Astyanax mexicanus: one gene and its partner. The protein of the gene in region 1 binds, or shares a complex with, the protein of each later gene. Links are inferred from orthologs where the notes say so. Each region holds a gene or a part of one and is shown on either strand. Other genes may lie near its edges.

Region 1 (8,288 bases):
GTATACCAGCAGCATTCTGTCACAACGTCTGGCTTGGTCTCTGTTGACATGTGTACCACAGAGGTCAAAAGTCAGCTCGCTGAAGCAATGCTAGCACAGCAGAGCATATGGAATGCAGGTGTGGAACTGAGAAAGCTCTAACGCTCCATATTTCCCACCCGATTCAGGCCAGACTCCATGGGCAAACAAACCTGGTATCTCAAAAATGTTTCAAGTGATATTACTCTGCTTGGCTATTTTAGGAGACAAACAAAGGAGCTGGAATCTTGAGAAGTGTGAAGTCTCTAAAGTCTCTAAAATATCTTATTTTTTTAAGATACACTACTCCTTTTTATACACTGATTTATCAAAAGTTATAAGAAGGAAAACTAACCCTAACATAAAGTGTTACCTCTGGGAATGGCTTGAGAACAACTGACACAACTATATAGATATACGTGCTATATGTGAGGTGTTATCTTGTGAGTGAGATTTGAACACAGACCAACAGCACAGTGTTCATATCAGAGTGGGCACATATCAGAGTTAGAGCAAGACCTGATGGTAGATACCAGATGGATGTGACATTTCTTTTGCAGAGTTTTCCAAAGTTTTTCAAAGTTTTCCGAAGTTGTGTGAGCATTTAACATTCCTTGATCCACAGTAGCACATACATGTGTACCAAAAATGCGTCACTGAAGAAGGCTTTAGAGCAGAGCAGTGGGTGGTAATAATGGTGTCCAGTGGAATCTGCCTAGAAATGTCCATGCAAACAGACAAGCAAGAGACTCTGTCATAAATCAGATCAATCAGATAAATCGGATAAATCGGAAATCCCATCCATATTCAATGCAGGATGCCCCACACACCCATCTCATAGGTCAGTTGCACATTCTTTAGTTTCCAATGGGACTTGGCAAAAGTCATTGGACACTATACTAGTTCCTTTCCCATGACGTTTTGGCAGTGATTCCATATATATCCTAAACGCAATCCAAGCCTAAGTTCATAGTTCAATTGGTCTGAGCGGACTGGGAATATACTGTACAGTACATTCCTGTTTCTCCATAGTGACATCAACCACAGTGTAGCCAAACAGGCCTGCTTAATGGTCAAATTGCACAATGGAAATTAGAAATAAACATAATTATTCAACTCTGGAAACTATTACTGATGAGGGCCTGACTCTGTTCCTTTCCTCCAGTGACTTGTGTGTGCATCTGTTGGAAAAGGAAGGGTCAGTGGGTAGTCGCTTGATAACCTGAAGATCACCCCAACAGGCCAGTGGTCTTGAAATGGCCAGGCAGCCATAAGCTATATTTTTCAGTATGGCAGCTAAAGTAGCTGAGGGAGTGTATATTTTAAGTGTCAGAAGCACTTTAGTTGACCCGAAATCCACATTTGGCACTGGAGCTTGTTTGGGAGCCAGAGGACGGTCTGTTCAGTGTCTCTGTAGCATAAAACACCTGTTGATTTGAAAAAACACTTGATGCATGATGCAATGACCTGCTTCCATCACTGAACAGGCCCAAGTCCAATTCTTCTCACTTTCCAAAATTTTCTCACTTTCTCCTGAGACTTCACTGCGATGGAGGACGCAACCATAGATGGGCTAGCTGGCCGTCGTTAAAGGTCTATTATCAATCAAGACAGGATGTAGATGACAAGATGACAAGAGAATACATGGGCTCCACTCAGAATCATCACTTTAAACTACAACCCTGTGAAGCACGTTGAAAAAAAGGCTGCTATAAATCATTAGCGATATTAACACACACACACAGATCCAGACAAAGAGTAAACGGACAATTATGTACATAAACCGCAGTTATGGCGTCTGACAGTGGGGGGAAAATATCACTGACGACTTGTTCCGTGGACAGTATAAGCAAGCCTCGTTAAAATGGTTCCATTGGAAAGGCTGTGAGGCTGCCTGAGACAGTCTGGTCGTTAGCTCAGTGGGAAAGCACTGGCGAGCTCCCATACTGCTCCAGTACTCGCAGCTGAGGACAGTACAGAGCTCAGCGCCTTAATGCTCTTCTAAAGATGGAGTGAACCAGTGGAGAGAGTCATCAGACATCAGAATGCCCTGAGCTTTCAGGCTTTTCTAACTTTATCTCAACTTATCTCAAACATTTCTACTCCATTTAGCGACACACGGTCAATTAGATCAAGAGATGACCCCGGAATTCTAGGGCCTGTGGGAACTTTCATGGTAATTCATGGAAAAATCCACTGAGGTATTTTCCATTGAGTTTCAGGTGATCATGTGAAATTAACTGAATTGATCTAAACAAGACATGACCTCTGTTTGCTGTTTTTACAGCAAATGATTGGCTGCCTCCTGAACTTTAAAGGTCTTCACTTAACAGTCAGAGGAACATCCTAAAGGTTTTATTATTAAAGTAGAAACAGACTACAAATGATTTTTCCAGACATACCAGACTGAAGCATTATTTGAAGACCATTCCTTAGAGCATATTGGTTTCTGTGGCAAAATACCACAGTCTATATTACAGTATTGCTCTGTGAGCTGGGGTGATGGGGTGATGGGTTTCCAGCTGCGATGATCCGTCCAGTGACAAACATTAAGCTCACAATTTATGGCCTATGTGTTCTAGGCATAAAATACAATATTCCTCTAGGTATTGCTAAGCAAGATCAGATCACAGACCATTACTGACCTATACAGAAACTGAACAGGGTAATACAATCTCTTTTTATAAAATGCGAGAACAATGAAGCTGTTGAATGCAGTGCTATTCAGGCCTACTTACTGTTTTCAGGTGTTCCTAGGATCATGTTGAACTTGTGAATCTCTTTGGCATAGTACTCGGTCTCAGTGTTATCCTGGCCACAGCTTTGCTGCCGGTCCCTGCCCAGCTCCTCTATCAGCTCTCTGGTGCTGTTATAGAGGGCCAACACCTGGTACGGGACCTGATTGGGACCCAGGGCTTGCGGTGGACTCGTCAGTCTCAATTTGCTCAAAATCTGTCCCCGGATGGCCTCCACCCGCTTCTTCTTGATGTGGTCAATGTCCACAGTGGTGCAAGTAGACAGCGAGAAAATCATGGTCATGCTGTTTAGGAGGAGGAGGAAAAACAAAAGTGCTCTGCCCAGCTGCATGGTGATGTGTGTGTGTGTGTGTGTGTGTGTGTATGAGTGAGTGTGTAAGTGTGTTTATATGTGTGTGTGTGTGTGTATGTCTATGAGTGTCCTCACTGTGAGTCTAAGTACCAAAGTTACCAAGAGGTCCAGTTCACGTAAGGTGAGCTGGAGCTAGTTGAGACTAAATAGAAAAAAAGAACTTAAATACTAGGGGAAAAAATCTAAAATAAAATAATATACAGACTCAAAAAAAAATCTATGAGAGTAAATTCCAGATTATCCTCTCAGTTGCTTGGAGTTCAAGTGGTGAGGGAGTTTGCCCCATCCTGTAAACTTAAGCAGAGCAGCCATGCACTGCACTCCAAAAATGCATCCCAATAGAATTCCATAACATAGCTAAAGCATGGAAGAGTGCTAGCCTAAAGAGCTCAGTTTCTCAAAGCCTTGCTGTCCCACCAGCATATTATTCCCTTCACGCAGCTGCTGTGCTGGACTCCTCGCTTCAGATGAGCTCTGGGGCTCTCGCGGACCTTTATAGGGACGGGGCCCGTGACGTCCCGGGACGGGAGGAGGGGCAAAAGGGGTGCAGCTTCTCACCCATTGCCTGAGTGAGAAGAGGCAACTGCACGTTTATTACTGCAGGAGTTCAGTCAGAAAACAGCTTCCAACAGAGTTATTCTGAAGAAATAGATAAGAAATAGCCTATATATTTATTATTTACCACTTTATGTCTCTTTCTCTCTCTCTCTCTCTCTTTTTCTCTCTCCCTCTTTTTCTATCTGTCTCGTGCGCGTGCACGCACACAAACATAAGCGCACATGCACGCACGCATACTCACTCAACCACCTTTTTTGCATGCATGCGCTCCCCCTAGTGGATAATATCTAAGAGAACATGCAGCATAGAGCTTTTCTTCATATCTGATAATAATGTATTTTAGTATACACTGATCAGCCATAACATTATTAGAACCACCTGTGTAATATTCAGTGGGTATATTTCAAGTCACAACTACAGATCCTCATGAGCCTTTGAATTTATTAATTACATATTTAAAACAACACTGACATGTTGCTGCTGTTTCCCTACTTCCCTACTCTCCTTTTTATATCATGTGTTCTATCCTGTTATCTATTTGAATCATATTATGTTTTATATTATTATTATTTTATTTTATTTGATCTACATAACAGTTGCTCTTGGGTGTAACTGGATTGTAAGATTACAATTTCGTTCCACCTCATGTACCACATGTGATGCAAAACAAAAAAGTCTCCTTGAATCCTTGAAAGAGTTCTATATGATGTGAGGTGGGGCCTTAATGGATCATGTGAATCACAAAAAAATGGGGTGTTTTTTGTATGGAGGGTTGACTCTGGTAAGCTGAGCAAACATGTAAAAGCTTAGAAAATATATAATTAAACAGAATTTTAAGAATAAAAACACAGCAGTCTCTCCTGACGATATGCAGCTAATGATGCAGGCTGTCCATCAGCCATTTTCCACTGTGAGTAAAAAATGAGTATATCTGTCTTTCTGTCTGTTTTAGAAGAATAGCAGATAAATGATGCCCACTCCTAACTCGCACTGTATGTGGGTGCATGGCCAGCAAGTCAGGAATGGATATTGGATTGTTTTTTAGAGAAAAGAGCAGGTTCGAGTGATAGGGTAAGGACAAATTATGTTGGTACTGACGCACTAAAAATCCAGAATGGTGGTGATTAGCTTCCTGCTTTTAGCTAGTTAAACCACATAATGAAGAAAGCAGCAATGAGTGGATTGTTTTATTACAAATATGTAAAAATGCTTTATTATCCTCTTTCTGCTGAAAAGATGTTTAAAATGTGCAAAGCATTTTGTGTGTCTGATTTGAATCTTCATTTTTTTAATTCGACTGATATGACACACCCGTCCCTCCAGTGAAAACAATCCTAAGACTATATTTGAATATCATTAAAAGTACACAGTTTTTTTGTTGTTGTTTTGTTTTTTATAAAGGGGGAGGAGTCTGGCCAAGCACCCTCACAACTCTGATCCTAGAGCCACCTCTGGGTGCCCATGACCCCTGTCAGCCAGTTCACCAACTGTCCTTCCTTTTGGAAAGTACTGATCACCAGGAGCATTATTGATGTTTTGGAAATGTTCTGACCCAGTCACTTATCTAGCCATCACAATTTTCTTGGTCAAAATAACTCAGGTTCTTATGCTTGTCCATTTTCCTGTGTTTAAGACATCACATCACAGAATATATGAAGATCCCCTAATATAAGACAAGCTATCCATATTCACCATACTTGTGTTGGACACAGACAGAATGTAGCCTCTGCCTTTAATGTAGTGAACATGCTCATATAGTGACCAAATACACACTGTGATATTGTGAGAGCACACATGCCACATGCCTGAGGAGCAGTGGGGTCCAACAGTGGCAGCTTGCTGAAATCTCTCATTAATGACCTGGTGCTCTTACAGCTGCCACCTGTCAGTGATGTACTAATGTTATGGCTGATCAGTGTATAAACCATGAATCTTGGCCTACACATGAAGCCTGTGTATCACTCCCTGCCCTGTACATTTTAGTAGTTTCCTCTTGTAATACACCATCTTCAACTTAGGGAGTGCTTGGTAATTACCTGATTGAGTACCTGGATTAGGTGTGCCATTTACCATATTTGTGAGAATACTGTACATGAGACGTCTATCTACCAGCATCACTTTAAGCACATTAAGTGTATCATTAATTTTTTCAAATTTATACATTGCCAACGTACCTTTCTGTGGCAGTGACAATGTGACTATTTTGGGCTCTGGCTGTAATGTGTGAACTATGAACACCTTTTTTTCTATCTTTTTCACTTTATTCTCTCCTAATAACAATGAACAGCACTGATAGACATAGCTCATTACATGCTGCAGCTAGCATGAAGTAGGCCTGACTAGTGTTGACGTGCTGTAGGAGGCTGCAAATCAACATTTCTTTATATGGTGAGGTCCAAGTTCCTTAAATCAACATCCACCGGCCATATTCTAGTAAACAATAAAAGACCCCAGATTGCTGGAACTCGACCAACTATCCATTGACTAGCAAAAATAAACACTGTACTTCCATCGGATGCCATGAACCTAAATTAGTTCTCATTGAATACTCGTACCACGAGGACATGGAGCCCAGGGGCATGGCATGAAATGCCTTTACGTGTGTGGTGGACATCTAACAATATGTTGGATAGAGATCTTGAAATTAGTAAATTAGTCTTGTAACAAAACATTGATTGATATTTATTAATGTATGCAAAGTGTATCATAGTCTGTATAACTAACTACTGTATATAACTAACATACCATGTACTGTAAACTATAGGAACAAAAATATTAAAACACCTGCTGATTCAATGTTTCATCTGAAATCTATGTAGTTTATTCTGTTTTTGTTGGAATAACTGGCAAGAAAAGTTCTTATAGACTTTGGCACATTGCTGACATGATTTGTGATGGCTCGGTGACAAAAGCACTGTGTGAGTGTTCAGTGAATACAGCCTAAAGTGCTTAAAAAACATTAATTTCATAGTGTCCACTATATATATATATATATATATATATATATATATATATATATATATATATATATATATATATATATATATATATATATATATATTCTAGCATTAGAATTAGGGATGCAAATAAATATGATACGTATAAATATTTTGCACACTAAAATTATTTAGTTGAAAATAGCAAAAAAGTTTGGGGTTTTTTTTGGTAAAAATATATATTTTATATCAAACTATAAATAATGTGCGTTGTTGATATGTATCCATGTTAAAAAATCAGTGTTTAACAAATATATTTAAATTGTTATTTTTTCAGAGAAAAATACATTGATGCTATTCAATGTATACAACTGTGAAAAGTGGCAAAAATAATAAAAAAAACCCTGCTTATTATTGGATGTTTTTACATATAAAAGTAAAAACACTCAATAATCTAAACCCTCTACACACACTGTATACACCAGTCATACAAGTACATTTAGACATGCCTCTTCTCATCCAATGTGTTTTTTTTTTCTTTTTAGAAATAGGGATGCATATAAAAATGATAAATATGCATACCAAAATTAATTGATTGAAAAAAAGCAAAAAGGTGTTTTCAGTATTTGACTCATTCCATGTGTGTCTCTTAAAAAAATAAAAACATTAATGTCATGGGGTGTCCACAATATATATCTGTAAAAAATAAGATGAATATGATAAATAAAAATGATTTTGTCCAAAATACCAAAAAAGTGTTTTTAGTATTTGGCTATTCATTCTATATTTGTCTCTTAATTGTTTATATGGTGTAAATAATAATCTACAATGTATAAAATACATTAAATAAAGAAATTAAGGAAAACATTGAATGTTACTCAAGCACCTCATCCAAAACAGCGCGCCGTTTCCATCGCCTTGGTTACAGTTGCTGTGTGACGCGTCCAGCGTCCAGGAAGTGGAAAGTACGGAGTAACGGGAAGCTCGTGAGATACAGGGATACAGGAAAGCCTGTAAACACGGAGAAATGGAGGATACGCTGCAGCTGGGGGAGAACGGGGTCCCCAAGACTGTGAGTTATAATACCGGGAAAAGGAGCGTCTGCGTGTAAACACTTATCCTGCGTTTACTCGTCTGTTTTCTGATCGCAGAGGCAGTAGCTGCGCTACTAGTGTCTGGATGTTTAGCAGGAGGCTAAAGCTAGTGGAGCGGCTTCACCTAACTAACACTGAAAATCACCACAGAAACACACACAGCGTTCAGCACTACCGCAAATGAGCTAAAAGCGATAGGATAGTCTGTATCATAAACATTAATTATCATGTTAACCTAGGTTAGTTAACCTAGATAACTAGTTAAGTGTCTAACGCCTAGGTTTACTGGCTAATTATAAATACAGTTAATTATTAATAAAGCATTAATAATAAAACACTAATCGTGTATATGGATTTACCTAGCTAATGCTAGCTAGATAGCTTGATATCGTTAGCTTGGTTAGTTAACCTAGCTAGTTAGTTTAAGGATTTTTTTTTCCGCTGGCTAACTTAGTGGAATTTGCTGGTTCACGTTAAGGGTGGTATAACTTGTTGTCTAGTTAGCTCAACTAGATAACCTATTTTGACGTGGATATATCAACGTTGTACGTTTAACCTTTAATAAACCATAGCT
Region 2 (8,268 bases), on another chromosome or scaffold:
TATCAAGCACTTTGTAGTTCTGTAAGTATAGACTGTAGTCCTGTATCTGTTTCTCTGCATACTTTAGTAACCTCTTTTCACCCTTTTCTTTAATGGTCAGGACCCCATAGGACCACAATAGAGCAGGTGTTATTTGTGTGGTGGGTTATTCTGCAGTATAGCACTCACATGGTGATGGTGGTGTTGTGTTAGTAGTGTGTATTGTGCAGTGCTGCTGGAGTTTTTAAACACGTCAGTTTCTCTGATGGGCTTAAAATAGTCCACCAACCAGACCAGACCCCCAACCAGGAATTTCCAGCCAACAGTGAGAAGAACTCTTCTGTGGGTAGCATCTAGTGACCACTGATAAAGGACTAAAGAATGATCAACGCCAACTTTTGGCTTTGAATCTACAAGGTGGTCCAACTAGTAAGAATGTCTTATAGAGTTCAAAAACTCAAGCAGCACTGCTGCGTGACTGCGTCTGACCTACTCTTACCATCACAACACACAATACTAACACACCACCACCACCGTGTCAGTGTCACTGCAGTGCTGAGAATGACCCACCACCCAAATAATACCTGCTCTACCTTTTTGGAGGTCCTCTGGGTGATCCTGACCATTGAAGAACAGGGTGAAGGTAGGATAATAAAGAGGATAATAAAAGGCAAGTGGCCACAAAGTGACCCCAGAAGGAGAGGCTTATGTGACTCTTTGATTTCATTTCTCTGAACTGTTTCTTCACATCCTCAGACAAAACTGCGTCACTCAGCCGGTGTCCCATTACTCATTTTGCACACTTTGCAGAAAATGATTTGTTAAAAGCCATTTTGAGCGCTATATAGTATCATTTTTAAACTGTAATATAAACACAGGTTTGTATGTCTTCCTCCTTAAATAGAGTCAGTTCAACAAATTCAATATTAGTTTCATAGCAGATACTGCATAGTAGTTACTAAATACTACAGTATCAGCATGCATTAAACTGCTGCTGCATAACTGTTGAGTAAATCTCCACTTTGACAGTTTTTGGTTTTCTCCATTGCTTTAACATCGTAGATGCTCTGTACATTCTGTAAATAATTGTGAAAGAATTGACCAATAGAAATGCTCTAAAATTAGAAAAAAGCTTATTTTACATCCATTCAAACACTTTTATTCAAAGTTAAAAAGTCATCATTTTGGATCTACAGCTCTGAAAAAAAAGGAAAATAGACCACTTGATTTTACCAAAATGAAAACCTCTGGAATATAATCAAGAGGAAGATGGATGATCACAAGCCATCAAACCAAACTGAACTGCTTGAATGTTTAGACTAGGAGTGGCATAAAGTTATCCAAAAGCAGTGTGTAAGACTGGTGGAGGAGAACATGCCAAGATGCATGAAAACTGTAATTAAAAATCAGGGTTATTCCACCAAATATTGAATATGAACTTGTTTTTTTTACATTTGAGGTCTGAAAGCTCTGCATCTTTTTTGTTGTTTCAGCCATTTCTAATTTTCTGCAAATAAATGCTCTAAATGACAATATTTTTATTTGGAGTTTGGGAGAAATGTTGTCTGTAGTTTATAGAATAAAACAGAAATGTTTATTTTACTCAAACATAAACCTATAAATAGCAAAATCAGAGAAACTGATTCAGAAACTTAAGTGGTCTCTTAATTTTAAAGGTTTGGGTTTATAGAAAGGGTACAGTAACTTATTTAACCACTCTTTACAATTGAGGGGACCAGAAAAGTCTCTCATTACATGTTGAACCTTAGGGCTGTTAAGCTACATGTGCACAAAACCATGTCAACTTCCACTTCTTTCACTCAAGAACAGAAAGCTGAGGTTGCAGTGGGCACAAGATTACCAGAACTGAACAGGTGAATACTGGAGAAACTTCGTCTGATTTGATGAATCTTGATGAATCTTGATGCAAACAAATGGCCGGTTGAAGTTTGGTGGCAACTGCTTGAATCAATGGATCCAACCTGCCTTGAGGAGTGCATCCATCCCTTTATGATTGCAATTTACCCTTCTAATCTACTTTCATTTTACTTTCAACATTTCAACATAATAATGCACCATGTCAAAGCCAAGCCAAAGTTATTTCAGTGGCCTTCCCAGTGCCAGAACTGAATCCAATAGAGAAGCGTTGGGATTTGTCAGAATGGAAGATTTACAGCATGAAAGTAAACTTTGAAAAATCTAGAGAATTTTGTGATGCAATTATGTCAGCATGGACCAGAATCTTAAAATAATTTTTCCAACATCAACAAGCATTTTAAGGCTGTTCCAAGAGCTAATTAATGCCATACTCTGTATAAAAAAGGGTTTCCTAAATCATAATGAACTGTCAAAGCAACTCTGGCATATCGCTTTACTAAAGAACCCCCTTAAGCCACCCCAACTGCCTCCCAGTGCGCCCATTGTAAAAAAAAAATATACATTGTTAAAAAAACATCACTATAGTGCTCTCTAAAGTGGCAAAAAAGAAACACCCTTCTTGTTGACAGGGTCCCATGTCATGCAGTAGGTGCCCTTTTTTGTTTTTTGCCCCTGTGTCAGTCCACCACTGTCTGTAGCGCTTCTCTTGAAAAGGAGTAAGAATTCATAGGCTGTCTCTCAAAGAGAGAGAGAGAGAGAGAGAGAGAGTCATATCCTGATACAGCAGTGAGAGAGGAGTGAGTCTTACCGTACTAGTGAAAGTGCCAGTCCTGCTATCTCCTGCACAGAGAGTCAGTCATGCTGCCAGCAGCCCCGTCCAGCTCTACTGATACAATACAGCCTACCCTCTTCTCCTCCTCCCCTCTCTCTCTCTCTTCTCCATCTCCCTCTGTCCCTCCCTCCCTCTCTCTCTCTTTCACTCCCAGCCTGATACATATCCTGTGAGAATATCCTGCCGGCATTATTGTTGTTCTCCCCACTTTCCTACTTTTGCTCGTACCTTATATGGAAATGGGGAGCACTCTCTCTTCTCTTCTCTCTCCTTCTTTCCCTCTAACTGTCTTGCTCTGCCTCCTCTCTCTCTCTCTCTCTCTCTCTCTCTCATGAGAAAGTGCAGCTGGCCTCAGTGGCCTCAGTTTAAACACTGGTATCCAGGGTGTTTCCCAACACTGCATTCCATGCCACATCCCTTAAAACATACAGAACATATAGGTAGAAAATCGGTACCACTTTAAAATAAGACTACCTTTATAAAGGGTTTATAAATGGTTTAGTTTATTAATGGTTACTAATTAGGTTGTAAAAGCCTTAAAAATCATTAATAATCAGTTATAACACATACGTAGAAATGTACATAGACTTGTTGTTTGCCAAATAGTGAACCCACAGCCACATAACTAATTATTAATGATTTTAAGGCATTTACAACCTAATTAGTAACCATTAATAAACTAATTGTAAACCATTTATTAATCCTTTACAAAGGTAGTCTCATTTAAGTGGTACCAGAAAATCTATATATATAAAACAAATCAAACATACTTACTGTGTGCTGATTGGCTCTTCCTCCACAGATGGCCCTTCATTGCATACATAAAATGGTCAGCAGACTGTTAAGTATCAGTGCAGTCAAGAACTGGAGCAAGCTGAGTGATGGTCAGGTATATATCAGTCTCCTAGTAGGGATTCCCCTCCTCCACCTCCATTCACTCACTCCCTTCCTTTTGCTTTTATTTTCTCCACATAGCCCTATTCAGACAGGATTAGCTTTACCTGGAGAGGTGGAGTGATGTAATCTCACTACAGGAACATCAGGAACAATTTTGACTGATTTGCACCAGATAAGAAATCCCAGCACAAATGATTGAGTTCAATGGGAGTGGCTACTCGATTTACACACTGCTATCAACAACAACAAAAAAACAGTGATGAAAACCAATATCATAATCCTAAACTTAAACTTGAATTCAGTTCAAAATGTGAAACTCATATCATATAGATGTATTACACACAGAGTGGTATATTTTAAGCGTCTATTTAATTTATTGTTGATGATTATGGTTTTCAGCCAATGAAAACCCAAGAATTAGTGTTATATCAATTCCACAGTCAGTGCAGTGTTTTCCCGGAAAATCTTACAGCACTTCATGCTTCCCTCTGCTGTCAACTTTTGTGAAGATTTCATTTTCCAGCAGGATTTGGCACACTGCCCACTCTGCCAAAAGTACTAGTTGGTCTTGTATAATATTCAGATTTTCTGAGACACTGATTTTTGGATTTTCAATAGCTGTAAGCCATAATCAATCACTCATAATAGATCACTCTGTGTGTAATACATCTATATAATATATGAGTTTCACATTTTAAACTGAATTACTGAAATAAAGTAACTTTTCAGTGATATTCTATTTTTTTTAAATGCACTTGTATATGTGTGTGTGTTTATATAATAACAATAATAATAATAATAATAATAATAATAATAATAATTATTATTATTATTATTATTATTATTATATTAAATAATAATATTAAATAAGAAACTAACTAACTAAATAAAAAACAATAACAAGAATTTAGTACTGTTATATTGTACGATTGTTCAGTTAAAAATAAATTCAACAAAATATTATTATCACTATTATTGTGAATAGAATAGAGATTTATTGTTTGAAAAACAAGGTTATCATTATTACTATTACTGTGAATAGAATAGAATAGAACAGAATAGAATAGAACAGAAAAGAATATTCCGTTATTGATTGTTATGCCAAAACAAGGTTTTTATTATTTTATTACAATTACATTTATTGTTATCAGAATAGAATAGAATATAGCTTAATTTGTTGCTATGCCCAAACAAAGTTATTCTAATTACAACTATTGTTATTAGAATAAAATATAATAGAATAGAGCTTTGTTTGTTACGCCAAAACTGTTATCATTATTATTGCAAATACTGTTATTAGAATAGAATAGAATAGAATAGAATACAATAGAATAGAATAGCACTATAGTGTTTTTTGTGCCAAAACAAGGTTTGTCTTATTTTTGCAACAGAAGATGTGAAAATGTAAATAGTGAAGATGTACTGCTAGTAGCTATTTTGTAATTTAAAGCAGTATTAAAAAAGCATTTAAATAAAATATATTATTATTATTATTATTATTATTATTATTATTATTATTATTATTGTTGTTGTTGTTGTTGTTGTTGTTGTTGTTGTTGTACTTGAAGGCACATGTGACACACACAGAAGAGTGAGCAGCTCCCTCTAGTGGTGCTGTGGACCTGTGTTTCCCAACTTTGCCTTTTTAAAGCTTTTCTGCTCCCAACTGAACTGTTCCAACCAATCAGCTGTATAACAGCCTATTATTACCTGGACCAGGTTTTAGAAACACTAATTTAAAGAAAAATTAAGGTTCTCCAAAGACACAAAGTCTCTATCACTGTAATAACTTTTCACATTTATTATCCACTGTTTTGTTTATGTGTATTTCTTTTTGCAATCAGTGATTATGCCCATCGTTTCCTATCTGAAACCACATTAATAACTTTATTATATTATTTTAAAATAATGACAGCATGCAACATATTGCAGCATTTATTTACTGAGTTTTAATAAAGGCTTAGTCAGGTTATTTATGGCATATTCCACTAAATCAGTGCCATTTCTGTCCCCAGGAAATTACACGTATAAATATGCAAACAAAATAACTATAAAAGACATTTTATTATTAAGCATAGTGTCTTGTACATTGACCTAATTGCAAAAGTATAATGTTATTAAAACATATCGTAATAAAAACTTCTTAGAACACTGAAAAAATAGCATTTGTTACCAGTCCCCACTCTCCAACTATAAACTTTATCATTAAATTTTAAATTAACATTAAATTAAAATTTTAAACTGTAATTGTAATGTAACATTTTAGTTGTGTCCCTATCACTCAGTCATTTTACCATAACACATTACCCCATCTAAAAATTTGGCACATCTAAAACAGGAAGTGACATCAGCTGGTTCTTCTGAAGATCCCAGGAAGACTAAAATTAAGTTCCCTCATTTGTTTTTCTGTATATTTGATCTTATAGTACTGATGAGGTCAATCTCAGCACTCATTCCTGTTACCTAAATTAATTCTCAGATCTTATTTGTTTATTTTTAAAATACACATTTTGGGAAAATCATTAGAATGTGTCCAGTTTCCTCATCTTTTTAGTATAGCCACCATTTAGCTATTTTTCATGTTTTTACTAATTCTATGCTAAAAACACAGTCCTGTTACATTCAGTCCTGTTATTTATATCATAAAGAGTAAAAGGAGTGGGTTCCAATAACAGGACTGAGTGCCAGTTACAGAAATGAGTGTCAGTAACAGGAGTGAGTTACAGTAACAGGAGAGAGTGCCAGTAATGTGAGTTCCAGTAACAGGAATGAGAATTGTCCCCTGGTTTATTAATTGAATGTGAATATTAGTTAGTGTAAAGCACTTTTTTCCAATTCTGTTTGGTTCATTACGTATCCATTTGTTTAATTCAATTGCATGATAATAAATTTTAACAATTTTAGTTTTTTTCTTCTTAAAAATGTCGGCCTGCATCTTTTAGAAAAATACAACCATTCATTAAACATTTCTTTATAATAAAGACTTTCCTGAGAAAAAAGCTTTGTCACACGAGTTTTGGTAACAGGACTAAGAAAAAAATTACCATCTTCGATTTAGAACCCTTGTAAAAAATTAAGTAAAGCTGCCTGTGTTTGACCAGTGTATGTTTTGAATAGTTAAATACATGTGTAAGTAGAGTTGAAAAAAGATAAAACATTTGAAAGTTTAATTTGGAATAGTTACAACCCTTATATTTTTTAATGTTGGAAAACAAAAGAACATAAGAAGCGGCAGAGAATTCATAGGCATTTAAGAAAGTGTACTGCAAAAAAATAATATTAATATATTTAAAATCCATCCAGAATTCAATAGTCAGAAAGAAAGAAAAACTCATTGATCTATAGATAAGAACAATGTTTTTTAACCTTTTGAAGATGGGGCTCCCCAGTGGGCTGCAGAGGTACTGCAAGATTATTTACTTTTCTATTTTGCAAAGTAAGAATCTTCTATAGAATAGATAGTTAAACAAATGTAACTTTGAATGTGACCGACATTTAGATACATTATCATTGGTTGGTTTAGCATAATACAGTCACAAGAAGAGCAAGAGAGCCAGTAGATTAGCAATCATTATGTTATTAGTGAGAGTCTGGGTGAAGTGGTTGTCCTGTGGTGTGTGTTTTATAAGTAAGTGTTTAATAAGCAGATAACTAGAATAACAGATAACAGAACCAACAACCTATCTCTTAACGTGGATAAAACCAAGGAGATGGTTGTTGACTTCAGGAGAGCTCCAGGTGTCCACCACCCGCTGAACATCAACGGCTCTGCTGTGGAAATTGTGGATAACACCAAGTTCCTCGGTGTTCACATTGCAGAGAACCTCACCTGGTCCCTCAACACCAGCTCCATAACCAAGAAAGCCCAGCAGCGCCTCTACTTCCTGCGGAGACTGAGGAAAGCACATCTCCCACCCCCCATCCTCACCATGTTCTACAGAGGGACTGTAGAAAGCATCCTGAGCACCTGCATTACCGTCTGGTTTGGGAATTGCAACACCTCAGACCGCAAGACCCTACAGCGGATAGTGCGGACAGCTGAGAAAATCATCGGAGTCTCTCTTCCCTCCATCACTGAGATCTACACCACACGCTGCATCCGCAAAGCCACCAGCATTGTGGACGACCCCACCCATCCCTCACACGGACTCTTCGGTCTGATGCCGTCCGGCAGAAGATACAGGAGCATCCGAGCCTCCACTACTAGACTCTGCAACAGCTTCATCCACCAGGCAGTCAGACTTCTCAACGCACAGAGACAGAACTGAACCCCCACCCCACCCACCACTCACCCAACACACTCACACAAAACTAAACTGTACACCCCTCCCCCCTTTACACTCACAAGAACTGAACTTCACCCACACACACACCCAGTCAGCACACAGAGGCTGACATGACTTTATTTGCTGCACTCTTAAAAACTATAAACTCTCTACCTCAGTAACTGCTGTGATTATATATGTTCTATATGTTACAGTATGTCACACATCTCTGCACCTTATCCCCACTATACTCTTTATTATACCGTATCGGTACTGCACTGTCCTGTCTTTATGCATTGTCTCGTCCTTTGTATTTATTGTTATTTAGTGTTATAATTTTATAATTTTATGTTGCACTGTCGTCACTCCTGCACTTTATGTTGTCTATTGCTTGTTGTTCTATGTTGCACCATGGTT

Evidence for each region.
Region 2: the proteins of tgfb3 (region 1) and lrrc32 are in contact, whole or in part, in a cryo-EM structure (PDB 8VSB), measured with the Homo sapiens proteins. The link is inferred for Astyanax mexicanus from reciprocal best matches to the Homo sapiens genes TGFB3 and LRRC32. Residues at the interface, in NP_001316868.1 of Homo sapiens: Leu24, Ser25, Thr26, Cys27, Thr28, Leu30, Pro347, Pro349, Tyr350, Leu351, Arg352, Thr357, His358, Val361, Leu364, Leu368, Ser375; in NP_001122394.1 of Homo sapiens: Ala110, Ser135, Tyr137, Ser160, Val184, Met186, Asp187, Ile188, Asp190, Phe193, Leu202, Leu204, Arg206, Asn207, Ser208, Thr210, Cys211, Ile212, Ser213, Asp214, Phe215, Ser216, Leu217, Cys227, Asn228, Ser229, Lys254.

What each region holds. Positions count from the first base shown.
Region 1 is NC_064421.1:14,049,905-14,058,192, reverse strand, and holds the start of tgfb3 (transforming growth factor beta-3 proprotein), read right to left. Parts: upstream 3,613-8,288; 5' UTR 3,106-3,612; coding exon 2,757-3,105; intron 1-2,756. Other genes in the region: intraflagellar transport protein 43 homolog, read left to right, coding at 7,648-7,692. UniProt on the Homo sapiens protein: Transforming growth factor beta-3 proprotein: Precursor of the Latency-associated peptide (LAP) and Transforming growth factor beta-3 (TGF-beta-3) chains, which constitute the regulatory and active subunit of TGF-beta-3, respectively.
Region 2 is NC_064427.1:35,631,442-35,639,709, reverse strand, and holds the start of lrrc32 (transforming growth factor beta activator LRRC32), read right to left. Parts: upstream 3,536-8,268; 5' UTR 3,513-3,535; coding exon 3,460-3,512; intron 2,777-3,459; exon of another isoform or gene 2,666-2,776; intron 1-2,665.